Daphnia pulex: one gene and its partners. Each later gene encodes a partner of the first gene's protein in a complex. Links are inferred from orthologs where the notes say so. Each region holds a gene or a part of one and is shown on either strand. Other genes may lie near its edges.

Region 1 (5,557 bases):
CAGACTCCATGATGAAACGGAGAACACCATAACAAGCTCTGTGTAACAACACATTACATCAGAAATGCACTATTTAAACGTCAGCCTATTGAATTAGCTTACCTGCGAACAGCCAAACCACCAATGAGTTTGTAGCGCAGGGACTCAGCTTGGGCAATAGCACACAAGCCACGAGTAGCAACCTTCTCAGCATAGAGCTCAACAGTTCCCTCTTGGAAGCCAAATCTCTTTTGGACAACAGATGTCAACTCGCGAATGCGACGGCCTTTCTCACCCAAAACATTCTGGGTACGTGTAGCCAGAATGATGATTTCTGTGCGAGTGGGGGCAAGGCGCACCTAATAGGAAAATGGGTTTTAGATATCTACACAGTAACAAAATAATTTCACAAGAATTACCTCAACTCCAGAATAACCATCTTCGGCCAATTCACGGGTCAAGAAGGCGTTCAATTCAGCCTTGAAGACACCTCCCGCCACAAACTGTAATACAAAATTATAAGAAAATTAGGTAAACTCAAGCACACTGACAATAGAAACATGTCAAGCCAAGACGAATTTTATCCTCCAAAATCTTTCACATCCTGGTTAGAAACTGTTCTATTTCATCAATAACACCTCAATATTCAAACGGTGAATATGTGAGAACAAGATGAAAAAGATTCACGTGTTGAAAGAATTACTTGCCTTTCGTTTTTTCGAGATCTGAGCCGTAGCCATTTCACGTATTTTAAGACCGGTCTACGAGAGGAAGAAGGAATACACAGTACTTTTTCTGTAGACGAAGTTGACAAGCCCAGCATTGCCTCCTTCTCAACCCCCTCTTTCGGAATTCATCTTCCCACATAATTTATTTCAGTTTGCTTTTTAAAATTTTTTCAACTATCATTATAGAAATAATAAATTATAAACAAGTTTAATTGGTTCATATTTGTTTAAAAGATTTCAAAAGTTTTATTGTAGATTTTCCATCTGTCAACTCCGACAGGAAGTCCGAAATTCAACAGCGTTGGACGAAATCAAATGTTATAAGTAGGACTGTAAAACGCCATTTGAAGCATGTGAAGCTCCCCCATCTGGTTTGATTGCTGCTAGCCAGTTTTGTATTCGTTTCGGTAAATATCTTATTTAATTCATGCAACTAAGACTGAATTTTGCATTCCTTTGAACCACACTAGCTCTACTTAGCTTATAGTGGCCAAGCGGACATGCTAAATTAAAATTTATTCTGATCTACCGTTGTCTCCTTATTTGGAACACATGGATTGAACCGAATTAAAACATTTGATAGTAGTAACATAAAGTAATTGATGTTGAAGGCACTGAGGCACACTGTGGATAATTTGTTGAAGTGTGCTTTAAATGGTTTTCTATGATGTTGAAATGCTAATTCTTATTCTGTTGTTGTACAGGAACCCTCACATCGCTACCTGAAGTTGCAGATTTCCTGGTGAAATAATTCTGTTTGGTGTATTTTATAGTATCTATATTGACAAATAAACAATTTTTAAAATTACATTCTGGCAAATTGTAACTAGTGAAAATTAAAACAAATTAATTTGTAGATAACTATATTCAGCGTTAAATTGTTGGTTGAATCATGGTTGGATGATGAATCTCATCAAGAGACAGGCTGTTGCTATTCTAATAGATTATGGCTTTTGACTGAGATAATATAATGTTAACTGTAAGTAGGGTACCATGAAAAGCTGTAAATATTAACATGTAACCTTTTACTTGATTCTTGTTTTTACAATCTTACGATTCTGTTTAAAAGGGGTTCCTCGTTAGCACATAAGCCTACTTTTCGCACTGAACTCGCTCATGAAATCATTTCTTCCTGATATGGTTGGGATAAATTATATTGGTAAAATTTTCAAGTTCGCATCGATGTATTGGACCACACACTTGTTAGCACGGGAATTTTTAGACGAAGGGAAAATTGTAGCCTAAGAGAACATTTTATCGAACAATTTCAAGGGCAGTTGAAACCCATTTGAGTTATCTGAAGTTATGTGCATCCAAGAGCTGTTTAGTAGTTTTCTGAAAATCACAGCTTTATTAGAAAGTTAATGGACTGTTTACTTATTAGTCCTTGTCTTCATCTTTGTAGTGGCGGTATTCCGGTTTCAGTTCCCACATGTTTTTGTGAGGATTCTTCAAATTGTATACACAAACATCCTTCAAAATTTCCTTGAGGTAGGTCTATAAAAGCAGAGGGTTTTAAAAGTGCAAATGCTTGTATGAAAACAACTTTTTCTTACCACAGGTTGGTTGGTGAGTTTTACCAAGTCCTTGATGTTGTAGTACTGATGCTTTTCAAAAGCTGCAAACAGCATGTCCATAACTTTGCCCTTATCATCTCTGGCTTTCTTACCCTCAGCTTTCTTCTTTTCGTCGAATTCTTTCTGTAATCAGGAATAAAAGGTTATGATGTACCAAAAATAGACGAGAATTGCTATATTTACATTATGCTTGTGGTCAGAGATGGGTTTGTAACTTTGAACCACTCGATCCAATTGCTTCACAATTCTTGTAGGTTGGGCAGCTTTAATCAAAGAATCCCTTTTGAGTTTCATGTAACTTGCATTTGCTGATGAAAATAAAAATCATTAATGCTCACTTCAAGCTTAGGAACTTTATTTTGTTGGTCTCACCTGTTGGTCTACATTCAAGCTTCTGGGCAACTTTGCCTTCAAATATGATCTTCTCAGTTTCCATAGGTGAGTTCGCGGTGGCTGGAGCTGGGGAAACAATACAAAAATGTCAATATTAAATTAGATTAATTGCAAGCACGCCACTTTAAATATCATGCTTTAAGCTCAGGCCTAAAATAAAAATCTTCCCCATAACTGTCAAGTAGTACGTACTGGTTTGTTGAGAAAATACACCCAATGTTTGTGAAGTAATGTGTGAAACAATCAATCCATGCTCTTTAGGAATAGGTTCCTCTCCTTTTTCCTGGAGACACATAATAGCTTCCGACAGAATAAGTTTGACTTGAGACTTTTGTCCTTGCACCCTGAACAAGAGTTGTAATGAGTTAATAAAGGATTTGTCGATTTGTTAACATAAACCAATTGATGCATACCTAGTAATATTCAGTTGTCCAGCTGTAATATTTCCAGGGCATTTATCCCATCGACTTGAAATGTATTTTGGTACTTTCACCAACCAAACACCCCGACTAGCTGAAGACATTTCCATTTCCCTTTCATAAACGATGACATCTTTGTCTTTCTCCTTGTCTTTCTCTTTTTCTTTCTCCTTTTTCTTTGACTCCATGGTTTTCAGTTTTAAAAATTCTGCTTCAACGTACTAGAAAAACCTATTCAAGAGAATGTAGTTCTAAATATTGGCCGGCTTTAATAAAACAAGTAATCGTTTCTTCTTTCAATCGACAACGTCACACAACTGAAAAGGTCTTCAAGTCTATCGTCTGCTATAAATCGCGCCAGAGCGCGTTCTTTTGTTTTATTAGATAAGTTTACGCAACCATCAGTTCGTCAACGCATTTTTCTTTAATAAAACCCCCCAAAAATCGAAATGGCATGGAAATTTAATGGCCTTAAAAAAAATAACTGATCAAATTTGTTGTTGCACAATCCCTTTAATAAGCTTTTAACAGGAAATAGTTTGATTGGCCAACATTTTTTCATTTAGCTTTTTACTCCTCCTCAAATGTAACCCTGATTGCATATCTCAATGCTCAAATCTCAAATTTGTTTCAGTATGAATTCCCTAATATTATTATTATTATTATTTTCTTGCCTTTCTAGATTTATAGGAATTTGCAAATCAGGACGTCTATCTGTGTAACTTTCAGACGCGGAATAATGTGGTATTTTTCATAACGCCCCGTGAGAAGTGATTCGGAATGTTTGGAATTTTAATAAGTACGAAATCACCGGAATGCCTGGCCAAGTATATAATCGCCCTCTGAAACAAAGCAGAAACTGGGAAACCTCTTTTTGTACTAGTTGGTCTGATTCGATCGGAATATGTATTACCACTTGTAACTGGATTCAAAATCAAACAATTCTACGAAATCGAGAAAGTTATAACAACTAGATTGGTACTTAAGGCGATGTCTTGTGGGGGGACAATGTCCGTCCACTAACTCCTTTTACTATAATTGAGTTCTATCACTAGTACGAATTGCTATACATGTATAACATAGATTTGTCTAAACAAGAGATGGCGAAACGGTAAAAATAAAAAGAGCACAGCAATTTGAAATTCTAAACGGGTTTCCCTTTCTCATGGTGGCCGCTGGTGGCGGAATCAAGAAGCTGACGACCAGGCCAGCACTCCACTCCGTGATCGAATATACAACATACTTGATTGCGCTTTGAAATGGACAGTGCGAGAGAATAGAAACATATATTTTAGTTTGAAAGTTGTATACACTAGTCCAAGATAATTGAAAGAAATTATCTACCGAAGAAAGAACGAATAGGCTATTTTAAATTTGATCATTTTACACTGGTGAGTATAAGCTATAGTGAGTCTAAATATTCTTGTCGAATGCAAACGAACAGAGAATAAAAGTCATAACCCAAGTTGCGGTTATCGCACTTTAAACTGCAATTTGTATTCCAATTAGTACATTCAAGGTGATTAAGAAAATGTGTGAATTAAATATTAGGCTATTAATTCGGTTATTGCGATTTATTAAAAGATATTTCATATTCAACCTATGATTCTTTCATTGTTATTTATTTCATAATAAAATCAAAGAGTAAGAAAACATTTTATGAGCTTTTATGAAAGTAAAGTTGTGCAGCCAACAATCTCAAGTATGCCATCGCTTCAAGACCAACTCTTCCAGGAACACATAAAATCATGAATATTTAATTTCGCCATTCGTCTTCACGGCTAATTTTTCTTGCCTCTTGCGTCTTGCAATGTGTGAGTTCTAATTAGTTTAATTACTATTCTCCAGCTTCCTACCGTCTCCCTCTAAGCCAAAAAATAAAAATAAAATAAAAAACAACTTTTTTTAATTAGTGAACCCATGAAAGTTAAAGAGAAAAAATATGAAGGATGATCCGTGACCGCCCATGTGACTGGATTTAATACGTTATCCTGTCTATTTTAATCTTTACAATAACAATAACAATCTGCAACAATTATGAATAGAGAAATTTCTAATTGATCGCAAAAGTACAGACTACTAAAACAGAAATGACAAATGTGTCGCGCATTATCTGACCTATATATAAACGCCACATCGCTCATTGGCGATCATAAAATGCTACCTTGCCCCCACTAGATAACACAGAAAAATAAGAAAATAAAAAACCGTCACCTGTCGGCCAAATTGGAATCATCGGTTAGCTCACAAAGAATATTCCCTGCTCCACCCCCATCGGTCTTATTTTAAAAAAAGTTCCTACCCTGAAAGTCGTCGTCGTCGGCAACCATCGTCGTTTTCTTTCGGGCTGTTTAAGTATGCTGGGCGCATATACATTGGTTGCTGCGAGTAGTATCATTACGGGCGTAAATAGACATACACCTTTGCGATTTTTATAGCGTGTCGGGAGACTTGTAGCCCA
Region 2 (6,325 bases), on another chromosome or scaffold:
CCTGTGGACAACTTGTTGATGATCAAGCTTGATAATTTTTTTTTTCAAGGATGACTTGCTGGCGAAGACTTCTGGAATTTGCCAGTTACGGAAAAGGTGTGACCAGTCGCAGACCCGACCTATAAAAACCCGCCATCCGACACATCTTCCTCAGTCGAACGCAGATATTGCTCAGTACAACCACTTATTACTCGCAATATCCAGTAATTTTCAAACTGAAAATGTCATTCATTATCCTGCTCTGTCTTGTTGCCTTCGCTTCGGCTGCTCCCCGTAAGTTAAATCATTAAAATATTATTAGAACATAAAATCTAGCTGTTTAATTGAAATTGGCTTTTCATTTTTTAAATTTTGACAGAACGAGCTGCCGTTCCAGTCCTTCAATTAGACCCCGTTTGCCTATTGCCTCCAGTTGCTGATTCTACACAAAACTGCAATAACTACTCCGTCAAGTACTATTTCGATCCGGTCGATGGCGACTGCGAAGATTTCCTTTATTCCGGATGCGGCGCCACTGAAAATGTTTTCAACTCCGAATTGGCCTGCGAACTCCGCTGCGAAAATGTCCACGATCAATTGAACAGTCACGAGAGCATCGAGGTCTTCGGGCGCTATTGGGATTAATTGCAACGCACATCTTTTTTCATGCTCTGTTTCAATCGTGCAATAATTTTTTTTCAGTTTGATGTGTTTGTTGAATTTCAATCCAGGTTATACTGTACCAACTTATTATTGTTGACATTTTTCTCAATCCGCAGTTATCTTTTTTTGTTAACTTCCCATGTAATCCGATATAAATACAGTTGAAGTTTGATTAGAATACATTTTTTCAGTTTTAATATAATCAAGTTGGTTTACAATTAAAATTTAATTTAATTCAATAAATGAATCAAATCAATATAAATTATACAAATAAAACGGAAAACATAAAATTCGAAGCCAATTCGAATTCTCTCTATAATTCCGAGCTTATGTTTAAGTAAGTACATTTGAAATTCTGATATAAAGAGCCCGGAGCTAAATAAATAATTGTGCAATCATGTCGTGCATATATTTTTCAAAGGAAGACAATGATCAAGATGATGAACTGTACAAACCGGTTATCGATATGTGTGTGTTTAATTCTTTTGCGATGCGCGCTTTTCTCTTTTCTCTTCCTTTAGGGGTGAATGATTAAGCGGTTATTTTTATTTTGGTTACATCGCGAAAGGTCAAATTCATGTTTTTTCCAGCTATAATGCCCGATTGCAGGGCTGTAATTATCTCTAGCGGGACTATAAGTACCAGCCGGTCGACTCCTTCCTTCTTCAGTCGAAAGCAGAAGAAGGTTTTTCCCATTTGCTCCATTCAACTCCATAAACTTCAACCGGAAAATGTCGGCTACGTTCGTCGTTATGCTCTGCCTCGTCGCTTTCTCCTCTGCTGCTCCTCGTAAGTGATTTTTTAAATCTAAAATTTTAGTTTTATGTAACATGGGCTTTTTCAAGCAATGCTCTTTTACGATTTATGAATATATTTGAATAGAATTGGCGGTCCCAGTACCGGTATTTGCTCAACGACCATTGGATCCGGTTTGTCTCTTGCCACCACTCAACCCCAAAGTGCGTTGCAATCAATTTTCCATCAAGTGGTACTACGACTCTGCTACCAGGGATTGTGAAAAGATTTTCTACACTGGCTGTGGAGGATCTGAAAATCTATTCGCCAGCGAAGACCTTTGCGAATTGCGCTGTGATCAAGATAATTTCGACAGCTACGAGAGCGTTGAGGACTTCCAGCAATATCCCTCGTTGCAGAAATTCAGATATTTCGTTCTTGGCAAGTAATCAATTGATGTAAAATGCTTTTCTCTAGCACAACGTTGTTATTCTTTTATTTTAAAAAGTAATTTAAAGAATTGTTCTTACATTGATCACATGGATTGTCTTTCAATGTAATCTATATTATTCAGTTAAAATTAATTTTGAATACACTTCTTATTTACTCACACAATACGAGTTGTTTCGTGTTTTAAAGAAAATATTTTTTTACCGACTTTTAAATAAACCGGCGAAATTAAAATATATCCGGCAACGCCACCTTGCGTCTCATTTTCGATTTGGCCGGCAGATGTCGAAATTGAGTTTTTCCGACAAGTGCGACAACAGTGAACGAAAGTCGACTGCCGGCTGCAAAGGCCAACGAATCTTTACATTGCAGTCGTTTTCTAATTCATAATTAATTTGTCGATTCGTATAATAACACAATGTACGATCAAGACGAAGGTAACATCAAAATATGATGATATTCATACATTTTTTTCTCATTCTAACGTGTCTTTTACTTAAGATCCGATCGAGGATGAAGATGGCGAGGAAATCTCTTCAGAGCTTTGGCAAGAAGCCTGTTGGATTGTCATCAACGCATATTTCGATGAAAAAGGTCTTGTGCGACAACAGCTTGATTCGTTTGATGAATTTATTCAGATGTCTGTACAAAGAATTGTTGAAGATTCACCTGCCATTGACCTTCAGGCAGAAGCCCAGCATTCTTCGGGGGAAGTAGAAAACCCTCCGAGATATGTCCTAAAATTTGAGCAGATTTACCTCTCGAAACCTACACATTGGGAGAAAGATGGTGCTCCGACAGCCATGATGCCTAATGAAGCAAGACTAAGAAATCTCACCTACTCTGCCCCGTTGTATGTTGATATCACGAAAACTGTGCACAAAGAAGGGGAAGAGCAGGTCGAGACACAGCATCAGAAAACATTCATTGGCAAAATTCCTATCATGTTGAGATCCACTTATTGCCTGCTGAATGGAATGAATGATCGTGATTTGTGTGAATTGAATGAATGCCCTCTCGATCCTGGTGGATATTTTATCATCAACGGCTCAGAAAAAGTATTGATTGCTCAAGAGAAGATGGCCACAAATACAGTGTATGTCTTCAGCATGAAGGACGGCAAATTCGCTTACAAGACAGAAATTCGTTCCTGCTTGGAACACTCGTCACGTCCAACCTCCACCTTGTACGTCAACATGTTGGCACGTGGTGGTCAGGGCATCAAGAAATCCGCCATCGGCCAGCGTATCATTGCCATTCTGCCCTACATTAAGCAAGAAATTCCCATTATGATTGTGTTCCGAGCCTTAGGTTTCGTGGCCGATCGAGATATTCTCGAGCACATCATCTACGACTTTGAAGACCCCGAAATGATGGAAATGGTGAAACCTTCGCTGGACGAAGCCTTCGTCATCCAGGAGCAGAATGTTGCCTTGAATTTCATCGGTGCTCGCGGTGCCAGGCCTGGTGTCACCAAAGAGAAGCGTATCAAGTACGCCCGTGAGATTCTCCAAAAGGAAATGTTGCCTCACGTTGGTGTGTCCGACTTTTGCGAGACGAAGAAAGCCTATTTCCTCGGCTACATGGTCCATCGCTTGCTGCTGGCTGCCTTGGGACGCCGTGAGCTGGACGATCGTGATCACTACGGCAACAAACGTCTGGATCTCGCCGGACCGTTGATGGCTTTCCTCTTCCGAGCCCTTTTCAAAACTCTCATGAAAGAAGTCCGAATGTACGCACAGAAATTCATCGATCGAGGAAAAGATTTCAATTTGGAACTGGCCATTAAGACCCGCATCATCACCGACGGACTCCGTTACTCGTTGGCCACAGGAAATTGGGGAGACCAGAAAAAAGCCCATCAGGCCCGCGCTGGTGTCTCTCAGGTGTTGAACCGATTGACTTTCGCTTCGACCTTGTCACATTTGCGTCGCCTCAATTCGCCCATTGGTCGTGACGGTAAACTGGCCAAACCTCGTCAGCTCCAGTAAGTCATTGATTTCAAATTATTTTCATCGGCTTTTGTTTATTACATAACATTTTTTAAAACTATTTTAGCAACACGCTGTGGGGAATGGTTTGTCCAGCCGAAACGCCCGAAGGAGCTGCTGTCGGTCTCGTCAAGAATTTGGCTTTGATGGCCTACATTTCAGTCGGTTCCCAACCGTCGCCCATCCTCGAGTTTTTGGAAGAGTGGTCCATGGAGAACTTGGAAGAAATCGCTCCGTCTGCCATTGCGGATGCCACCAAGATTTTCGTCAACGGTTGCTGGGTGGGTATCCATCGCGACCCGGAGCAGTTGATGGCCACCCTGCGCAAACTGCGTCGTCAGATGGACATTATCGTGTCTGAAGTATCGATGGTGCGCGACATCCAGGACCGTGAAATTCGAATTTACACGGACGCCGGCCGTATTTGTCGTCCATTGTTGATCGTCGAGAACTGCAAATTGTTGCTGAAGAAGCGCCACGTTGACATGCTCAAACAGCGCGAGTACATCAATTTCAGCTGGCAGGAACTGGTGGCCACTGGTGTAGTCGAGTACATTGACACTTTGGAGGAGGAGACGGCCATGATTGCCATGTCGCCCGAGGACTTGCGCCAGGTAAATTTTCTGCATTGATTTTTTCTTTCCCTACCCCACCCCATCCAGCCGTTGAATGTTTTGCTTTGTTTATCCAGGGTAAAGACGCCTACTGTACGACGTACACGCATTGCGAGATTCATCCGGCCATGATTTTGGGAGTTTGCGCCTCGATTATTCCGTTTCCCGATCACAACCAGTCGCCTCGTAACACTTACCAAAGCGCCATGGGTAAACAAGCCATGGGAGTGTACATTACTAACTTCCACGTCCGGATGGACACTCTGGCCCACGTCCTGCAGTACCCTCAGAAACCTTTGGTCACGACACGCTCCATGGAGTACCTGCGCTTCAGAGAGTTGCCCGCCGGCATCAATTCGATTGTTGCCATTCTCAGCTACACCGGATACAACCAGGAGGATTCCGTCATCATAAACGCTTCCGCCGTCGAACGAGGATTCTTCCGCTCCGTCTTTTTCCGATCCTACAAAGATCAAGAGTCTAAACGATCGGCCGATCAGGAGGAAACGTTCGAGAAGCCTTTCCGCGATCATTGCCAGGTAACCGATCAGAATTCCGGAATTTTTTAACTTCTTCGGTAATCACATTTTGTTTTCGTCTAGGGAATGAGAAATGCCATTTACGACAAGTTAGACGACGACGGCATCATTGCACCTGGACTTCGTGTGTCTGGCGATGACGTGGTTATTGGCAAAACGATCACTCTTCCGGAGAACGACGACGACCTGGAGAGCACCACTAAAAAGTTCTCGAAACGGGACGCCTCCACTTTCCTGCGTCACTCGGAGACGGGCATTGTGGACCAGGTGATGCTGACGTTGAACGCCGAAGGCAACAAGTTTTGCAAGATTCGCGTCCGCTCGGTCCGCATCCCGCAGATTGGCGACAAATTCGCCTCCCGTCACGGTCAGAAGGGTACGTGTGGAATTCAGTACCGCCAGGAGGATATGCCGTTCACTTGCGAGGGCCTGACTCCCGACATCATCATTAACCCGCACGCCATTCCGTCTCGTATGACAATTGGTCACTTGATCGAATGCCTTCAGGGCAAAGTGTCGGCCAACAAGGGCGAAATCGGCGACGCCACTCCGTTCAACGACGCCGTCAACGTCCAAAAGATCTCGAACCTCTTGCAAGAGTACGGCTATCACCTGAGAGGCAACGAAGTGCTCTACAACGGCCACACTGGTCGCAAGCTCAGCGCTCAAGTCTTTCTCGGCCCGACCTACTACCAGCGTCTCAAGCACATGGTGGACGACAAGATCCACTCTCGAGCCCGAGGTCCGGTCCAGATCCTCGTCCGCCAGCCCATGGAAGGTCGTGCCCGCGACGGCGGTCTCCGATTCGGAGAGATGGAACGAGATTGTCAAATCGCCCACGGAGCGGCTCAGTTCCTGCGCGAGCGTCTCTTTGAAGTTTCCGATCCTTACCGCATCCACGTTTGCAACCTCTGCGGAATCATCGCCGTGGCCAATTTGCGCAACAACACGTTCGAGTGCAAGGGCTGCAAGAACAAGACGCAAATCTCCCAAGTTCGGCTCCCCTACGCTGCAAAGCTCCTATTCCAGGAGCTCATGTCGATGAACATTGCACCCCGTTTGATGGTCATCTAATCTCCCCATTTTCTTTTCTTCTTCTTCTTTTTTTCTCCCGGGGTTCCTTTTCATCCGTTTCGATTAAATCCTACCCCCTTCTTGTGTTTGCCCGCCGGGTTTTTCTGAAATTACGTGTCGACTCGAAAAGTTGCCGAATTAAACGGTGGAAAGATAAAAAGACGAGAAAAATTCAAACTTGTTTTATCGACCCTGTCGTTATTTAAATCTTTTTTTTTTTGTTTCTTTCCTTTTTCGCCAGAATCCTTCCAACAATGACAGATGGAGAAATAAAAAGGAA
Region 3 (6,430 bases), on another chromosome or scaffold:
AGACTCGAACGATCTTTTCAAATACATTGTAAGATAGTGAGCTAAAGAATGAATAATAATATAATCACTTACCGATACTAAGGTATGTTAACTAATATTGAATCCATTTGGTCAGACTCAGAAAGCTTGGTGCCATTCTCTTGCTATTTCCCAGCATCCCAAGCCACATTCCTGCTTATCGACTTTAAATGTTACTTTCAGCACTGGACAGAAGATGAAGCCTACGATGAGGAGAAAATTAATTGGTGAGTGTTTGATTCATGCATACTTCTTTAACTGCAGAATTTCAACTTTGTGTTAATTAGGCTAACTAAATTTGTCAATACCAATGATGGACCTCACTTTATATATCTATGTCCACAAGTTGATGAACTCTTGATTTCTGTCACATATGATATTCAAAGAAGGTTTGCATGTTATGATAAAATTTGTGCTGAAACTAAAGTATCCAATTCTTAGTATTGAGACAATGGTCATGAATAAGACTGTATCATTTGGATTTGCTCCATCCTGGAAAGCTGCTGCAAATTATATGAAAGAAGCTGCTAATGTAGGTTACTTTATGTTTGTAGTTTTTGATACACTTTTAATGTTTATTTTCCGAGTCCAGAAATTCTCCGTCGAAAGTGTCGCCGAATATTCCGCCGATTATCAGAAAGATATTGAATTCTTGATTGAAAACGCGAAAAGGGCTTGCACAGACGACGAAGCAGACATGTCAAAGCGACTTCAAGTTTTCTCTCTATAGTATTCTGAACGAATATCCAGCACCTTGCTCACCACCAAGAAATGTTAACTTGTCAGTTCAATGGCTGTTTTTCATCTAAAAATGTGAAGTGTTTCCAATAACAGATAACTTGTTGAAATAATACCAAAACTTACAACTGCAAATTTGTTTAATCGTTCCGAAAATCACGCATTTTAACAACCGTTCTAGTCCGTTTTTATAAACCGTAAAGGGAAGGCCTGAGATAATTTCAGTAAAGTAGCAATAGTGATTGCAGCACAAACAGAACACACCAATCATCGTTATTGTCGCTAAGCCTTAATCGACAAATACATCTTCCCTTTAATTGTCTGCTTCACGGGGTTGATCTTCTTCAAAATTTGTGCAATGTGATGGACAAGCTGGTCCGACGACAAACCAGTTTTCTTGCTTTTGAACTTCTGAAGCAATTCGGTCGTTGTCATTGGCTTGCGGGATAAATAACGTCTAACAGACTCTTCATTGACTCCTTCATTGGCACTGTAAAAGAAAAAATATACATAACGTTTCAGGATTAATTTTAGTTCATTATTTATAAATACCTAGATGATGATGCAGCTGAAGCGGCAGAGGCAGCTGAAGCAGCGGATGCCATGTCCAATCGAGGTTTCTTTGTTGCTTGGCCAGTAAGAGCATCGGACACTGCAGGTGTTCCCTTTCGCTTGCTATCTGATAGCGTTGTTTTAGGCGGCGATGTTTCAGGTTTCGTCGGAGTAGCTGATCTAGAACTGTTGGCACTCCCCCTAGAAATAGTTTGTCAGTTAACTGTCAGGAAACCAAATTACTGCACTTACGGTTTCATTTTTGGGCTCGGTTTAGCTTTCTCCAGTTCGGATGCTGAGCTCTCGGCACCGCTGTCGCTTGACGATCCTGATAAATGTTTCGTTATTATTTGACTCAAACACACGATGTTTTTAAATGGATATTACCATAATCCTCGTTGCGGGGCTTTTTATCCTTGTTCTTCTTTTTTTCTTTCTTCTTCTTTTTGTCGCCTTTTTCGTCTTTGGAAGCCTTATCACCTTGCTGGTCTTCGGCACCTTCAGCATCTTCCTCTTCTTTGTCTTTGTCTTCTTCTTCCTCCTTTTCTTCGTCTTCATCTTCTTCGTCCGAGTTAAGCAACTTGCGGAGAGCATCCTCTTCGGCAACACCCTTTAGTCCGTCCTTTGCTTCTTCTTTCTCGAAATCACTAGATTAAAGAACAACGCGGGTGTGTTAGAAAATCGACAAATGCATCAAGATTAATGACATACCTTTCGTCATCGTCGGAAGAGGAAATGTAATCCAACTCTCTGCCTTCACCATCACCATCATCGCTATCTTCGATAGCTTCATCATCGGACGCATTCTTTCGCTTCTTCTTCGGCTTAACAGGTTTCTTGCCTTTCTTCTTCTTTTTCTTACTTTCTCCATCATCGTCGTCGTTATCATCATTGCCGTCGCTAGAATCGTCATCGGAAGATGCCATCATATCGTCCAATTCATCACCAAAACGAGAATCTGAATGCAAAAGTTGTTATAATTTTGTGACATTATTTATGGTGGAACTTTTGCTTGTTGCCTACCTTTAGCTCCCTTCTTTTTCTTGCCTTTCTTTCCTTTGCCTTCACCTTCTTCCTCGCCCTCTTCTTCGGCGTCTTCATCGTCTTTCCTTAGTCTCTTTCTCATCATGACATTGAACATGTTGTATGTTTTGTTCCTCATGTTGTACCCTTCCTCTGCTTCTTCAATACTCAGTGGTTTGTAATTTTGAACTGCTTGAAAACTGTATTGTTCTTGCACAGGAAAGGCATCAAACACACCATCTGGTGCTTGCGTAAAAACGTAGTACGATGCATTTTCATTAATGCCACCATCTCTTACTCCTGTTTAATAAAATAAATATAATTGCACATTACTAAACTTTCTTATTGCTATCTTAGCTTGGTTTCCAACTTTAGTATACCTCTGAACTTTTTCCCACTTTTTCCCCCATGTTGTAAAATCCAAGGCTGGTTTTCAGGATTATACTTTTTGCTTATTATGCCATACTTCTTCCGTCTAGCTTCCTCACGAGCCTCTCTGCCATATTCACTCCCAGCACCAAACTTTGGCATATCTTCATTGAACCCTTTGAATGTGACTTGGTTGTTTTCCCTTTCCATTTTTGGATCTTTCCATTGTACAAAGTCAATACCCATTGAGCCATTGAATCTCATGATGGCAAGCTTTTTGTTTATGTTCCTGTGACAACATTATAAACTCGGTTTAAGAAGGCAAAAATCTAGATGGTAATGTCTGATATTCTTACTTGGGGACTCGAATGTCAATAGTCTGAACATTAGAAGCAGCAGCGGCAGGAGCTGATCCACCAGCAGCTGGAGTCTAATGTAACACATATTATTATGTTGAACTAATTAATTAAAAACCAAAATGTCTTTACCCTGGTAGCAGCAGGAGTTGATCCACCAGTAGGAGTCTTGAGAAACACATGTATTAATATTGAATTAACTGATTGAGAAGACAAAAAAATTGTACCTTGTTAACAGCAGACATTATGATGTGACGGTGAAAAACGATTGACAAAACAACTTCTCACCGGCGACACAATGATCGAGACACACCACCGATGTGTTCGTCACAAGTTCGTCACGAATGGTAAATAACTAACCCAACTATGCACGTTACTAAATTATAGGCCAAAATTAAGGGGTGGTGATCGAAATTTCTATGCCAAAAAATATTGGGACACTTTAAACAGCGCCAACGAATTTTATACCCGACCCGATACTGAAGAAAAATAGTCGACGACGACCCAGTTCAGTTTTCGTCTGCTTCAGTTCTTTTCTTTTCACGTCGAGACTGCACTGTCGACTTCCCGCCTTGAACCACATGATAAATTGTGAAAGGCTATTTCTCACTTACCTTATTAAAATATCCAAAAATGGCCAATCAAAAAGTTTTTTTATAAAGAGGTCTAAATTGTTAAGTAATATTACAAGTAAAGTAAATGATTATTCATTTTTCAACTATTGAAGTTCGTTAGTTCCAATTTTGGTCGCCATGGAATTAGATTACCTATCTATTCTCAACTGCCTAATTCGTTTTTCGTCATTTATTTTCTTTCTGTTGTGGAAAGCGTTCGTCATGGTGTTATCGTTCTCTGGGAGAAAAATATATGGAATAGTTTACCATGCATTTGTTGTGTACAGGAAAAGATTCCTGAATGTTGTTCCTAAGAAACCAGCTCTAGTTTCAAGAAACATTGGTAAGTTGCCTAATTTTTGAATTCATGTAACAAAAACAATCAATAACTTGTTAATCTGCAGGATGGATGCTGGGTTTGTTACCTGCAGTCTCTGCTAGTGTAAAAGTTGATGAAGAAAGAGAAAATAAGACCAATCTTATTTCTGAAGCTGATGTCTTGTACAATGAGCATTCCTACACCAAATTGAGAAGTCTTCTGTTGCCCTACAAGGTAATAAGAATAAACTGATTTGTCAGTCTCTGTTTTAATGTTGGAAAAACTTTTTTTAGGCCGAAGATAATGCCGAAATTCTTTGGCGACTGGCACGAGCGACGTATGAAGTAGCGAAATTATCGTCCAGTCCAATTGAACAAAAAGAATTAGATTTTGAAGCATACGGTTATGTTGAAGGGGCGCTGCTCATTGATCCGGAAAACTTTGCTGCTCACAAGTGGATGTTTATTTTGTTAGATAAAAAGGCGTCCTACGAGGGCTTAAAGGAGCGCATTTCTCAATCGTTTGTCGTCAAGAAACACATAGAAAGAGCGTGTGAACTCAACCCAAAGGATGCAACTTCATTTCATTTGCTAGGCTACTGGTATGACAAGATAACAACTTTTCTTTTGTATGTAACGTAACACATTTTCGTGCAACTTTAGGTGCTTTTCTGTTGCTGAATTGCCGTGGCTTCAGAGGCAAATTGCCTCAACCTTGTTTGCTACACCGCCCGTATCTTCTTACGAAGAGGCACTGCAGTATTTCCTAAGAGCGGAAGAAGTTGAGCCGAATTTTTACAGGTACGGCTTGGTTTAATTTTTCATTTTTCTAAATAATTGTGCATTTTGAATGGTTTCGTTTCAGTACGAATTTATTGATGCTGGGGAAAACATATTTGCGGCTCAACAATAAAGAAAAAGCTATCGCTTATTTGACCAGAGCTCGAGATTATGCTATCGCCTCGTCAGAAGATTTGGAGGTGACATATAACGCATTAACCTTTTCTACATTTTATTGTTTGATAAAAATGGTTTTACATTGATATCATAGGCCAAACACGAGGCAGTCAAGCTATTAAATTCCATCAGATAGGCCGCTGGCTCCAAGGACGCTCGAGGATATTTACCCATATCCTTCCACATAAAGAAAAATGTATGCGCCTCTTCTGTTTACCTTGAAATTTAATCAAAAATGTTTGTTTTTTTATTATTAAATGATTTCCTTGTGTGTGTGTTATCGGTACAACATGCAATAGTGCAACAGTTTCCCAAATTTCCCCGTGCGTGTTTACGAATACAAAGTTCATTCACTTGTTCTCGATAGGTCCGATAGGTAGCGTTGCGTGTCACCACAGCCCGAAATGTGCCGAGCTAGAATCCCCGCCAGCCATATGAAGGGAAAGGATACGACGTATGTGTTATCTGTACGTGACGGTCCGTCGGCATTGTGAGTTGCTTCGTGTAGTTCTGAGCTTGTGGACTTGTTTATTTGACTGTGTCTGCTAGGTCAGGAGTTTGTTTCTACAAGTTTTTACTTTGTTTCATCTCTTCCCTGTTGGATTCAACTAAAAGAAAATCCTGTTTTCTTTAATTAGGCAAAACAGGTGGTTGTGGAAATTTTCTGGCAGTCTGTTTGGCGATCACGTGAAAAGTAAGTCCTCGATTATTTTCGTTCACTATCATTCGTGTGTGTGTCTGCTTGGAATCTAAAATTGTGTACAACTCCGCCTGGTTGTATGGCAACCGAACTGGTTCGTTCGTCTGGCGTCTGTAAATCAACAGATAACCAACTGCGTATACAATTCGTGCGGGTAGAGATAAAACGAAGGCAATAGTATATGACACACTTTGGCATTGTGTGTAGGTGTAAGTGGAAGCTACTATTTCAGAGGGAAAGTCCCGCGTTGCGCACGAGCCTTGAGGGGCCCAGGACGGGGAGTTCACCTGTTGGAATATGCGCACACAATTCCTAATAGGGAAATTTAAGGAGAGGTTTCGTGAGAGCCAACAGTTATTTGCCTACACGTTGAAACGTCCCGGCACTCAGACTGTGTTGTTACGCATCGATAGTTTTACGGGTCCGCGTGACGTAACCCCTACGGTTATCCAACCGAGACTGGCCAATTGGAAAACGCCGCGCTGGAAGAAGACGGATCGACACTTATATGGCCGAAAATGAAATGCACCCAAAGAGAAAGAATGATATGTCTGGGTAGAATGTCTTATTTTCAAAGCTATTTCACTTCAGGCCAACGGGGGGATTTTTTAAACATGAAATGGTCCACGATGATACGCAAATGTGAATCGATAGTTGTTGTAGACAAGAAAAATCTGGTTTTTACATGTCGCCATGTAGCCAAACGCGTGTAGTTTTCCCAGAAATCATTTTAATGCCATGTCGTTGCTAGATGCAAAAGAGAGATTTTATCTGGCGGGTTAGAC
Region 4 (6,095 bases), on another chromosome or scaffold:
ATGAGATTAATGTGCCCATCAATATGCATTTTGAGTACAGCCCTCGGCATTTATTCGAATCAATAAAATGGTATTCGTCTGTGATGTACCGTCTGGTATGATACTTCAATATTGATCCTGTTTTGCATATTTTCATATCATGTATCGAGGCCAGACGGTTTATGGGTTGTATAGGATATGGGTCAGCGAGGATCAGGCGAACTGTCGAGTGGTTTTTTGGGGTTTTTTATTTTTCGAAATATATCGCAGCACCACTACTAGAGAATGCGGTCGTTGAAATATTCACGTTGCATAGTGCAGCCACGAGCCGCTAGAAATGACGCAGCAGTTTCCCAGTGGAATGAAAGTGACTCAAACCGATCCCGTAAGATCCGATCTCCTCCAACCCTTTCGTCCTGCGTGCTGCAATCTATTAGCTAAAGGATCCCACCCTATTTTTAAAAAGGTCATCATCCAATGAATTCGAAATACAAAACTCGTTTTAATCCCATTATACGGAGGATCTTAATTGAAGCCCTAAGATGATAGGCATCGTAATAACGATGGAGGTTATTTATATAGTCTTGGGATAACACTCGAGGGATCCGCTGTCATCGCATAAGCGAATAACTCAACAACGTCAAGCTGTTTAATTCCCAAAAACTTTTTCCATCCAGTGAAAATATTTAGATTCGTTCTCCCGAAAATGACTAAAAGCTATTACGCCCTTCAAAAAAGTTGTGTTGTTTTCTCATGTGCTTATAGGATACTGCTGTTGTTTTTAACATGCACTTAAACAATGGCTCGACGAATAAAGGGTGAATTCTAAGTGTGACATGGTGGAATCATTTAATTATAAGATTAATTGGACTTTTCACTTTTAAAGTTTCACATTTAAGAGATGCGAACTTTCGACCAAAGTTGCCACTGTAACTTGACTGATTGTATGTTTTTAAAACCATTTTTTCGTGCGATATAATTGACTCAACTTTTCGTGTCAAATCGGAACTATATGACCTGATTTAGATTTCATGGAATCAAAGGCAATTAATTGTCTAATTATACACGCACGGACGATCACCATAGCGACGTGAAATGGTTTTTTGTAAAACTGGTGAGTAGGTCTACTTGTTCTAATTAATGACTTAGGTTCTTCCATCATCACATTAAATAATAGTCATTATTTTAACCAAATTATTTCCATGATTTTTATAGTTTACAGGGTCCTTCCAATTGCTGGGGTATACGTGAACAAAGTTACATTTCGGCATGTGTTTTAAGCATGTGCGTGACTGGTTGGCCGTCTTTTGTCGTCACCACTTGAAAAACATGGAACCATCCATCCGGCTAGCTACAGGCAGCAGCAGCAGCCCCCCAACGACTGGGAGCGCTCATTAGGAACGGATGTTGTGACACGCGATTAAAAGCCATCCTGAATATACTGTAAACATTTCACTAGTTCATGTCATATCATTCACATGAAACATGTCCTCCCCTGTGACATCAACCATTTCAAAAAGAAATTTTTGAATTTATTTTCATGATAAGCAGATGGAAGAACGCCCCAGTCCGTCCTTGTTGAAACTTTTCCCCTCGTTTTTTTTTTAGTTTTGATAATGAGTCCAGCAGGTCGAATCCTAAGGTCCTGGCAACAGCAAAGTTCGTTTAGTTTTGTGCTGGTTGCCTTTTAACGGCTCTAGGAAACTTTTTGGCGGACGCCAACAACTCCTACCGCGCTGCTATCGTGTAGAAACTCCATTAACGTGTACCGAATCCAATAGTTGGATGAGCAATTCCCCGGTGATGACTGCAAACGGATGTAAGCTTTTGACCACTTGGTTATTTGCTTTCAAGTCCCCGTACGCTCGCCTGAATGACTTCCCATGTATACAACCTAATCTAGATTTCTTCCGACTAACATTGAAAATGTCCACCACCAACTGTATACGATTACAAGAATTTTTCGGTACCGTAATTAGTAACATTGTCCCCTGGGTCTTGGACTAGTTTTGGGTCACGTTATTAGAATCTTCTCGAAAACTAATTGCAATTCTTGGTAATTTGAACATATATTTTTCTTCTTCTTCTAAATATTCCTGAATCAAAAGGGGGCGACAACAGCTTCTGCAGCGAACAGGGAAAAGATGAGACAAAAAAAGAATTCGGAAAGTTTTGTGTGTTAACAAAAAAAGAGAAACGAAACAAAAGAAGCGAGGGAGGACAAACACGAATGGCTTTTGTTTCTTTGTCCCCAGGTATTTTTTCCTCTCCACCGCTCATCCAACACCCGACATGAAAAAAGAAATTCCGCACATGCACACGCACAGGCACACGAAAAATCCTTAAATTGAAAGCGAAATTCCTCCGGATTGTATTAAATGAAACATTATCTTGATTTTCCCCTAGTAGCGCAATTTCAACCTTGAATATTTTCACCACTCTGCATCACCGTTGGCCTTTTGAAAGACGTAATCGCGACCGTTAATGTTCATGATGCCGTCCTTGAGATGAAACTTCCACCTGTTTCGACTTCTCGTAATCTACAAATAGAAAAAAAAGTCATTTAAAACATTTCAATTCCAATTCGAATGCTAAAATTCAAATCCTTGCCTTGTCGTACTGGCACACGACGACGTTATCAGTTTCAAATAACACTGAGGGATCATCATCAGTCACATCGTCTTCAGAGTTGAGTGGCTCCTCGTCTGCGTTCTCTTCGTTGTCTGCGTCAATCTCCTCGTCGTCATGATCGTCCTCTTCTTCCACGTCGTCATCGTCATCATCTTCAACATCGTCGTCGTCGTCCGAAGAGTCTCCGGGTCCATCCAACTGTGTGACTCCTCCATTGTCAGTTCGCGATTGGCTCCGTGCAGCTGTCGACTACAAAGAAAAGTAATAATGCATTGTACACACATTATTATATACACTTTCGAGTGGATTCAATTTCAACCAATGGTACCTGCAACGCGTTATTAATGTGCTGCTGCAAGACAGTCGTGGCCATTTCAACTGGAAGAGAGAGAGCCGCCGTCACAGCCGGTGAACTCAGGATCGTTTGCAGCTGCGCTCCCGCTGCGCCACCTGTGACATTATTACAAATAGTAAAGAAATTAGATTGGAGCTAGTACGAACGAGATTCAATTGGGAAATAACCTTGAAGAGCATGAGCTGGAACGTGAACAGTGATGCTCTTGGCTGCTGTATGACCTGCTACTCCAGCCTGAGGAGGAACAGTGATTTGGACTGGCACCGTCCTTACTGTTGTCGTAGCAGGGGCTGCAGCTGCTGCTGTTGTTGCTGCACCTGTAGCTGCATTAGGGGTAGTCACTGGGGTTTGGGCTGCTGCTGCTGCTTTAGAGAAAATAAAAACAAACAAACAAAACAATTAATAATAATGCACTCAATGTAACAGTATACCCAACTACCTGGTTGCTTTGCCGTAGTGGCTGCCTGTTGAGGTGTAGAATTGTTCGCAGGAGCTGTAGAGCTAGCCTGCTGACCTGCTTTTGACGGCAAAGAAGACCCTTTTTTCATACATGATAAAGTCTCATAATCGATATTGGATACTTTGTTGCAGTTTGCTTTGGAGAGAAGTTTCAGCAGGATCGGTCACAGGGTCGATTGCTTTGCTGGACTGCAATTTGTTTTCCCAATTCTGCTTCAATTCGAGAAGTACAGCCTCATCGATTCCTTCGTCAAGAAACGCCTCTCGAACCCCGTTGATAACATCTTCAATAACGCCACGATACAGTTTCGACTACAAAAAAAGAAATATAAAAGTCCTTAATTAGACCAACGAGGAGTGAGATCGAGCTCGTGGAGTGGAATCGTCAATGCAACAACAGTTTCCAGGTACTATTCCCCATGAAATATTATCATAAAGTAAAAGGTAAATAAATACCACGAGTGCCTGATTGGCGGCCATTCTTTAACGAAATTGAATTTTATTTGATTTCAATTCCGGGAGGGCTTCGTTCAACAGGAAGCCGACATGAAAACTAAGACTGACGCGGCAATATATATCGAAATGCCCCCGATGGCAGCGCCACGAAGCGTGATTTTGGCTAAGCATAGCATCTAGCGGTCGAAAAAAACATTCTTTCTGCTAAAAGTAAAGCCGTTTGTTATCGTTTCGACACGTTTGAATCGAATGAACAAGAAACGTTTTTATTAGCGGCCTAAGTCTCAGTATTCGTTGATTTTCATCAACGAGATGGATGAAAAATCCGAGATTTTGGTTTTAAACGCCGAAGATGAAGATACCTTCCAAAAGTTGTATTCCGAAGGTCTCAAATATAGCAAGCAATGCTCGGAAGAAAGCATGCCAGTTCCAAAGTTCTATACCAAAGTAAGCATAACTTCCAATTGATTCCCTATAAATTTCTTATGTTTTTGTTACACAGCTTCCTAATCATGAAAACATGATTAGCCTTAAACTGAGAGAAGAAGCTAGAACAGCATTCCTTCAGAAGAAGAGCAAAGAACTCCTCGATAACAATGAACTGCAGGTTTGTTAATGTCATTGCCAGTGTTTGTGCTACTGGTAAATAAGATTTTCATCCTGTCTTTAGAATCTCTGGACTTTACTTGACAAAAATCACAGCCCTCCTGCTGGTTCTGAGCAGATGATCAATTATATTGATTTTCTCAAAGTAGGCAACATAGCTGGTCCAAAATATAAGTAAGACATGTAAATATTTGATTGGGAACACCAAGTTATTTTTTGAATTCCCCTATACAGAGCATTCTTTACACCAGATGTATTTGCAAGGCTATTGCAGAATGATATTCATGGCAGAATATCAACCATGGCAGTGTTCAATTACATCATGAGGAAAGTTTGGTTACAGCAAACTAGAATTGGTCTTTCATTATATGATGCCACAGGACAAGGTCTGCTTACTGAAATGGTGAACATCAGCAATATGTTTTTTGTTTTTGCAATATGTAATTTACTTATCTATTTTTGTTTTTCCCAGGATTTAGAGAACTACATAACTGAACTTATCCCAACATTGCCACAGTTAGAAGGGCTTGAAAAGTCATTCCATTCGTTTTACGTCTGTACCGCCGTACGCAAGTTCCTCTTTTTCCTAGATCCATTAAAGCTAGGCAAAGTCAGGATACAGGATATTCTCGCTTCTGGTTTTCTGGACGAACTTTTAGAGGTATTTAGTATATTCCTGATTCTTTTGTCATTCTTCTCGCTAAAAATATTATAATTCATCAGCTACGGGATGAAGAGCTGCCCAAAGATGCACAGGATTCAAACTGGTTTTCTGCGCCCTCCGCTCTGAGAGTCTACGGTCAATACTTAAATTTAGATACCAACAGAAACGGCATGCTTTGTCAGGAAGAGCTCAGACGGTAATTTACCATATTTCAATTTGCAGTACGTACATTTAAGATTTTTTTTAAATTTAATTTTCAGATTCGGAACTGGCACGTTGACGCGAGTTTTCATTCAACGAGTATTCGAGGAGTGCATGACCTATGAGAAAGAAATGGATTATAAAACGTACTTGGATTTCGTATTGGCCATGGACAATAAAAAGGAACCACAAGCACTTCAGTATTTTTTCCGTTTGTTGGACGTCAATCATCGAAACCATCTCAACACTTTTGACCTCCATTTTTACTTCAAAGTATTAATTTCCTCATTTGACCTTTTGACTTTCTTATCTTGAAAAAAAAAAAAATGCTTTGCAGGGGGTTCAAGAGTTGATGCAGCAGCACAAACAAGAAGTCGTTGCTTTTGACGACGTCAATGATGAGATTTTCGATATGGTGCGTCCTGCCGATCCGTCAAAAATCACTTTACATGATTTGATTAACTGGTAACACACAAAGTTCATTTAGAATTTTTTTAGAATAAGATTGTCATTGAACGTTTTCTGGCTCAGTGGATACGGTGAAACTGTGATCAATATCTTGATTGATTTGGATGGATTTTGGACATACGAGAACCGTGAAGCTGTTGTCGTAACAGACAAGAATAACCAAGAGAAACAGGACATTTGAATTTGGAATTCTTGTACATAGAAATTGTGAGTGTATTTTTTAAAAAAAAGCAAAGAAGTAGCAAGATCGCGGAATGGATTGTAGGTGCGATCTCA
Region 5 (4,898 bases), on another chromosome or scaffold:
TCCAAAGTGAAACAATTTCTTATTTAATAAATTCTCAGTTATTTAACTCTAATTGCAACTCCAGAAACTAAAACAAAGTACTCTAATACAACTTATTTATACACAGCTTAATTAAACATCAATCAATTTCTATTACCTTATTGTATTTAAAATAAAACAGACTCACGCTAATTGTATACCGTAGACGCTGGAACTCTGGAGAGATCCACTCAAGACGACGGAACACGATGACTGAATGAAGAAACGAGATCTCGACGAATATATATACTAAAATAAATGCGCCTGAAATGCGACAAATGGGACGCAAGTGCAAGAAGGATGGGAAGAAAAGGAGAAACCATTCGATCTGATAAAAAGGGGTCGAGTTTCTTTAGCGTTATTCAGACGTACTATCAAGGTCATTTATAGGCTTATGTATTTCGTCGCCTCGTGTCATTTTCTAAGTATTTGTTGTGACTGTCTTTTCAACCCTCTTCCCCAACACGTGCATTGCCCCCTACCTCCTTAATAATCAAGCCTTCAGGCTTCAGCAAATGAAATTTTCTAGGACTACCGAGCTTCATGTAATTTGTGCTGTTGCTCCATATTTATAATTTGCCCAAAATCAAAAGGATTTTTATATGAGCATTTTAATACACTTTAATCATAGTTAGAGGAGCGCTGATTTATTTGTTCATTTAATAAGAAAAAGTATAATCGAAAAGGGTTTATTGATGAGATGACAAGTAAGAAAGCAATGGAATATTATTAGGCGGTCCACTTCAAGCAACGCGTGTCTTGATGAGTACCTAAGCATTTGACGCTACAGTACCTTGCGCCACAAGATAAACAGGTGTAACTACAAGTAAATCCACAAACAGCACAAAAATGACGTTCGGGAAACTTAGATGGTGGAACTTGAGCTGAAACATAATTTGGGGGCTCTGGGCGATTAACCTGTTCTTCCTCCAACAGCTGTGCAAAGGATTTTCGAAACCTGTAAAAGAGGAGAAATTACTTCAATAGAATTACACTTCGTTTCAGCAATTAATATTAAACAAAATACCGTTGTTTGAAAATTTCGAAATTTTTAGATTTCCTTCTTCTTGTTTGTTTACCATCAAGAGACTCTTCAAACTTGGGGATCTTTTTGCTTAGTACTGCATAAATATCCAGAATTAATGAAAGATCTGAAAACTAGCCAACTTACAAAAATACCTAAATTGGCATGAGGGTCATCATGAAAATTATCTTGCTCAAGTGCTTCCAATGCTTTCCTTGCTCTTCTCCTACGAGCTGCCTCATCCAAAACCCTTCTGGAATTGGCATCCTTCTGACGGGCTGACTCTCTCTGAGATGAATTCATGATGATAGATAATTTACTCGATTTCTCTTTCTGCCAAAGGAAAACTGATCCTGTCCATCAAATCATCAATTCTAGACTGCAAAACTTCCAGATATTCAGGTGCCTAACAGAGAAAATGTCAAAAAGATAAAAATACAAAATATGAGAAAATAGAAGTATTTTTTAAATTTTACAATGAAAACGTGAGTTTCATCCAAATCTTGAACTATGAATTTGTTGCCTAGAGCATGTGTCTCGTCTAAATGAAGAAGCAATTGTTTCATAGCAGCATCACATTCAACCTTTGGGTAATAATACAAATTCAAGTATAAATTTAACAATTAAGCACCATGTAAAGAAAAGGTAAACCATTATAAGTTGCCACCTGAGATACTTATTAATTTCTAAATCTATGACTATTTCCACGGGATAGTCCGATCGAATATTTTGTGCTTTCTTTCTGACAAGAAACTTTTACCAGCACAGTCAATTTCACTAGTGATTGAAGTAAGTTAAAATACCATACTTCAAATACAAAGATATAATAAATCAAGTGGCATTTATAAGTTTTACCGTAAATTATTACCAGAATTCCTTTAGTTACGTTTACCATCTTGCCCCATTGGTAAAAAGTAAGTAAGTAACTGATCGTCTGATCACCATTTTGGATTTTTGGCATCTTCTTTCAGCACTTCCAGCTTTTGATTGGCGTCGGTAGGTGGCGTCTTAAATTGAGCGGGAAAGGAGTTTGTTGGCGCATTATATAAAAATTTACAAGACTTCCATTCATAAAGGTTTGGTTTCACTTCAAGAAAACTAAGAAAAATTAAATCTTTTAATGGGAAAAAGGAAGCAAGAGTCTGAAAAAATTGTATATTGAAATACTGCGACCAGTACCGAGAGTCCGAGACACTAAAAAGAAAATGATTGGGTAGGATATTCGAGGCGCATCTGGGCTTTAATTGCCCTACATGGAAGAAAAATTCGAATGTACGCAAATGAGGAAAATTACTAGTGAAGTGACCAAATAATGAAGCACAGCGAATTTGTTAAATGTTGGCACTTGAATGGGATTTTATCGAGGAAACCTAAGATCTTCACATTGGAAGGTAAGAGTGCCAAGGGTGTTGAAACAGCAATCAAAGCTGAATAAACAGTCAAAACAGTAGAGAAGAATTCCTTTTGGTTTAAGTGACAACTGAAAATTGCTGTTAAAGACGACGCACAGTGCTATTGAGGTTGTTGTTGTTGCATTTGTGCTTGCATTTGAGCCAACATCTGTTGCATACGTCGTAGCTCCGCCTCTTTTTCCTGTGAGAACAAAACAATGATGCAAACGGTCGAAACACTATTTCCATTGTCTATTAATAACACAATAGTTACTAACCTGAAGTATTTTTTCTTTCTCACTAATCTGCTCCGGAGCAGCCGATGGCGCGGTGGAATTAGTTGGCCCAGCGGTTTTTCGATTCGAAGCTACACCTTTAGCAAGACGTTCTGATCGGTAGTTCTCATAGTGAACATCTTGTGTTACTTCCTGTAAATCTTGTAGCTGTTGACTAAATAATGAAAGAATTAAACGTTAGTGCAATGCAAGATTTTCGATCTTTGACGAGTCAAACAAGTTACATCAGCATCGTTCGGAGTTTAATGAAATCGCAGTGTTCAGGATTTTCAACTTCAACGACACCCCATGGATACTGCCGTCCGCGGACCTTTCGGCCCTTAACTTCAATCAACGTATTGGCCCCACATACAGCAAAAGGTCTGAATAAATGAATTATATTATTATTATTATTATGAATGAATTATAATTGTTATTAGTCTGAATGAATTATTACATACACTGCGTCTTTAAGCTGACGAACTTGCTCTTTGTAGTCTTCGTCTTCATCCGAATCGCAATCGGGAAGTGGGTAAATACGAATTCCGTTTGCCTCAATTTCTTCCATGACCTAATAATTTTTTAGTTAAACAAGTTTATAATAAATCTAAATGTTGGTCACAATTTTACCCTTTTCTTCAACCGAGCAATTTCTTTCTTTGTTAGCATATCTGCTTTAGCGATTACAGGCACGATGTTGACTTTGTGATGCAGCATTTTCATAAATTGCGTATCAAGGGGTTTAAGCCTATTTAGGAAAAGATTAGCCAATACATTCTGTGAAATCTAGTTGAATCACGAGTGGAATCTATCATACCCATGTCCATATGGAGAAATGAAGTAGAAACAGCAATGGACCCGGTTATCGACTATGTTACGGCGGTTTAACCCACTCTCATCGCGCAGGAAACGCTCAAATTGGTCATCAATATACTGAATTATTGATCTGAAGCTAAACAAAATTAAGACAATTTAAAATTAAATCAAAAATGGGCCTTAAAAAGTGATTTTTTTTCATTACCAATCTGTATTATCAATAGCATCTCCAAATCCAGGTGTATCAACCACTGTAAGGCGGAGCTTGACTCCCCTTTCTTCAATTTCCACAGTAGAAGCATCAATTTTGACTGTCTGCTTTGTGCGTTCTGTGAAAAAATTATTCTATTATGACCGTTGAAGCATTTTCTAGCTAAATTCTAAGCACCAACCTCCAGCTGATGGAATATTTCGTTCAGGATAAAGATCAGTCAAGAATAAACTATTGACTAGTGTTGACTTGCCAAGCCCAGTTTCTCCTAATGGATTCAAAATAAAAATCTTTAGAGTTGATGACATGAAATACAATTGCTTTGTCATTACCGACAACCATCAGAGTAAACTCAAACCCTTTTTTAACAGATTTTCTGTGAACTTGGTTAGGCAAATTCGCGAACCCTACGTATCCCGGCATTTCCGGGTTGGTAAACTGTTTCAATAAGAGAGTACATGTTTAAGTATCATTCGTGTTTCATTTAGACAGTAAACAAATCGCACGAAAAAATTAAGAAAACAAATAACCGTTACCCCGCCAGGATTTTTAATTGACTCAGCAGACATTATATGAAGATAATATAAACAAGAGTTTGAAGAAGATAAAAATAATCAAAAAACAGAGTGACAGTTATCAAATATCAAGTCCACGACCGAAAACCGTAGTGGCGGCGCTGCAATCTTATGGGTGTGTACGACCCAAAACGCTCTTGTTATTTCATGAATTTTGAATTTAAAAAGACAAAAAAATAAAAAAGGAAAAAAATTTGTGTAATGAATCATCTTATTAGATCGCAATTTATTATTAGAAAAAGAAGAATGTAACACAAAATCAAAAAACTTCAACGCTGGAAACTTCAACCAGTCAGCAGACGATTTTTTTGTCATGTGTTCCTTAATTTCGTTTGCGTTGACTTTTGTTGACAGTTAAAAAAGTTCGGAAGTAAACGTTTTGTTAACAAACTATAAACGATGTCAGGTAAACCACGTCCTTGTGGATGCAAAGGGTACCGCTCTTGCTTGCTATGTGAAAAAGAATTTAATCTATTACCTTTTAAGGATGACTCATTTACAGCAGAGTCGCTGGAAGAAAAAGTATATTAAAAATTTTAAATGTGTCTTCTGCTTTCTAAGTTTCATGTTGATAAATCAACTCTATAA

Evidence for each region.
Region 2: general transcription factor IIF subunit 2-like (region 1) and DNA-directed RNA polymerase II subunit RPB2 share a complex: the UniProt entries of both Homo sapiens proteins name them as parts of the TBP-based Pol II pre-initiation complex. The link is inferred for Daphnia pulex from reciprocal best matches to the Homo sapiens genes GTF2F2 and POLR2B.
Region 3: general transcription factor IIF subunit 2-like (region 1) and general transcription factor IIF subunit 1-like share a complex: the UniProt entries of both Homo sapiens proteins name them as parts of the TBP-based Pol II pre-initiation complex. The link is inferred for Daphnia pulex from reciprocal best matches to the Homo sapiens genes GTF2F2 and GTF2F1.
Region 4: general transcription factor IIF subunit 2-like (region 1) and transcription initiation factor IIA subunit 1-like share a complex: the UniProt entries of both Homo sapiens proteins name them as parts of the TBP-based Pol II pre-initiation complex. The link is inferred for Daphnia pulex from reciprocal best matches to the Homo sapiens genes GTF2F2 and GTF2A1.
Region 5: general transcription factor IIF subunit 2-like (region 1) and general transcription factor IIH subunit 5-like share a complex: the UniProt entries of both Homo sapiens proteins name them as parts of the TBP-based Pol II pre-initiation complex. The link is inferred for Daphnia pulex from reciprocal best matches to the Homo sapiens genes GTF2F2 and GTF2H5.

The regions. Positions count from the first base shown.
Region 1 is NC_060025.1:405,300-410,856, reverse strand, and holds general transcription factor IIF subunit 2-like, read right to left. Parts: upstream 3,439-5,557; 5' UTR 3,285-3,438; coding exon 3,091-3,284; intron 3,022-3,090; coding exon 2,870-3,021; intron 2,744-2,869; coding exon 2,657-2,743; intron 2,593-2,656; coding exon 2,468-2,592; intron 2,408-2,467; coding exon 2,264-2,407; intron 2,205-2,263; coding exon 2,088-2,204; 3' UTR 1,873-2,087; downstream 1-1,872. Other genes in the region: 40S ribosomal protein S3-A-like, read right to left, coding at 1-38, 103-338, 399-482, 687-719. UniProt on the Homo sapiens protein: TFIIF is a general transcription initiation factor that binds to RNA polymerase II and helps to recruit it to the initiation complex in collaboration with TFIIB.
Region 2 is NC_060022.1:1,080,316-1,086,640, forward strand, and holds DNA-directed RNA polymerase II subunit RPB2, read left to right. Parts: upstream 1-2,094; 5' UTR 2,095-2,245; coding exon 2,246-2,264; intron 2,265-2,328; coding exon 2,329-3,814; intron 3,815-3,885; coding exon 3,886-4,432; intron 4,433-4,509; coding exon 4,510-4,971; intron 4,972-5,034; coding exon 5,035-6,045; 3' UTR 6,046-6,222; downstream 6,223-6,325. Other genes in the region: kunitz-type protease inhibitor 1-like, read left to right, coding at 1,374-1,431, 1,525-1,826. UniProt on the Homo sapiens protein: Catalytic core component of RNA polymerase II (Pol II), a DNA-dependent RNA polymerase which synthesizes mRNA precursors and many functional non-coding RNAs using the four ribonucleoside triphosphates as substrates.
Region 3 is NC_060018.1:349,586-356,015, forward strand, and holds general transcription factor IIF subunit 1-like, read right to left. Parts: upstream 3,611-6,430; 5' UTR 3,302-3,610; coding exon 3,284-3,301; intron 3,225-3,283; coding exon 3,189-3,224; intron 3,131-3,188; coding exon 3,057-3,130; intron 2,990-3,056; coding exon 2,712-2,989; intron 2,632-2,711; coding exon 2,332-2,631; intron 2,267-2,331; coding exon 2,020-2,266; intron 1,956-2,019; coding exon 1,696-1,955; intron 1,637-1,695; coding exon 1,561-1,636; intron 1,510-1,560; coding exon 1,309-1,509; intron 1,247-1,308; coding exon 1,039-1,246; 3' UTR 879-1,038; downstream 1-878. Other genes in the region: uncharacterized protein LOC124188758, read left to right, coding at 1-28, 116-245, 306-407, 460-550, 611-748; regulator of microtubule dynamics protein 1-like, read left to right, coding at 3,638-3,720, 3,784-4,013, 4,075-4,223, 4,283-4,590, 4,652-4,789, 4,854-4,968, 5,040-5,081. UniProt on the Homo sapiens protein: TFIIF is a general transcription initiation factor that binds to RNA polymerase II and helps to recruit it to the initiation complex in collaboration with TFIIB. It promotes transcription elongation.
Region 4 is NC_060018.1:12,589,622-12,595,716, reverse strand, and holds transcription initiation factor IIA subunit 1-like, read right to left. Parts: upstream 4,028-6,095; 5' UTR 3,905-4,027; coding exon 3,881-3,904; intron 3,737-3,880; coding exon 3,547-3,736; intron 3,504-3,546; coding exon 3,405-3,503; intron 3,334-3,404; coding exon 3,133-3,333; intron 3,061-3,132; coding exon 2,939-3,060; intron 2,860-2,938; coding exon 2,590-2,859; intron 2,520-2,589; coding exon 2,412-2,519; 3' UTR 2,030-2,411; downstream 1-2,029. Other genes in the region: serine/threonine-protein phosphatase 2A regulatory subunit B'' subunit gamma-like, read left to right, coding at 4,193-4,327, 4,383-4,487, 4,551-4,660, 4,721-4,889, 4,959-5,147, 5,210-5,346, 5,411-5,624, 5,689-5,816 and 1 more. UniProt on the Homo sapiens protein: TFIIA is a component of the transcription machinery of RNA polymerase II and plays an important role in transcriptional activation. TFIIA in a complex with TBP mediates transcriptional activity.
Region 5 is NC_060021.1:7,406,365-7,411,262, reverse strand, and holds general transcription factor IIH subunit 5-like, read right to left. Parts: upstream 2,013-4,898; 5' UTR 2,004-2,012; coding exon 1,911-2,003; intron 1,627-1,910; coding exon 1,519-1,626; intron 1,449-1,518; coding exon 1,359-1,448; 3' UTR 1,331-1,358; downstream 1-1,330. Other genes in the region: septin-1-like, read right to left, coding at 748-976, 1,046-1,139, 1,198-1,330, 2,712-2,883, 2,954-3,091, 3,170-3,279, 3,339-3,456, 3,526-3,660 and 4 more; alpha-ketoglutarate-dependent dioxygenase alkB homolog 4-like, read left to right, coding at 4,710-4,832. UniProt on the Homo sapiens protein: Component of the general transcription and DNA repair factor IIH (TFIIH) core complex, which is involved in general and transcription-coupled nucleotide excision repair (NER) of damaged DNA and, when complexed to CAK, in RNA transcription by RNA polymerase II.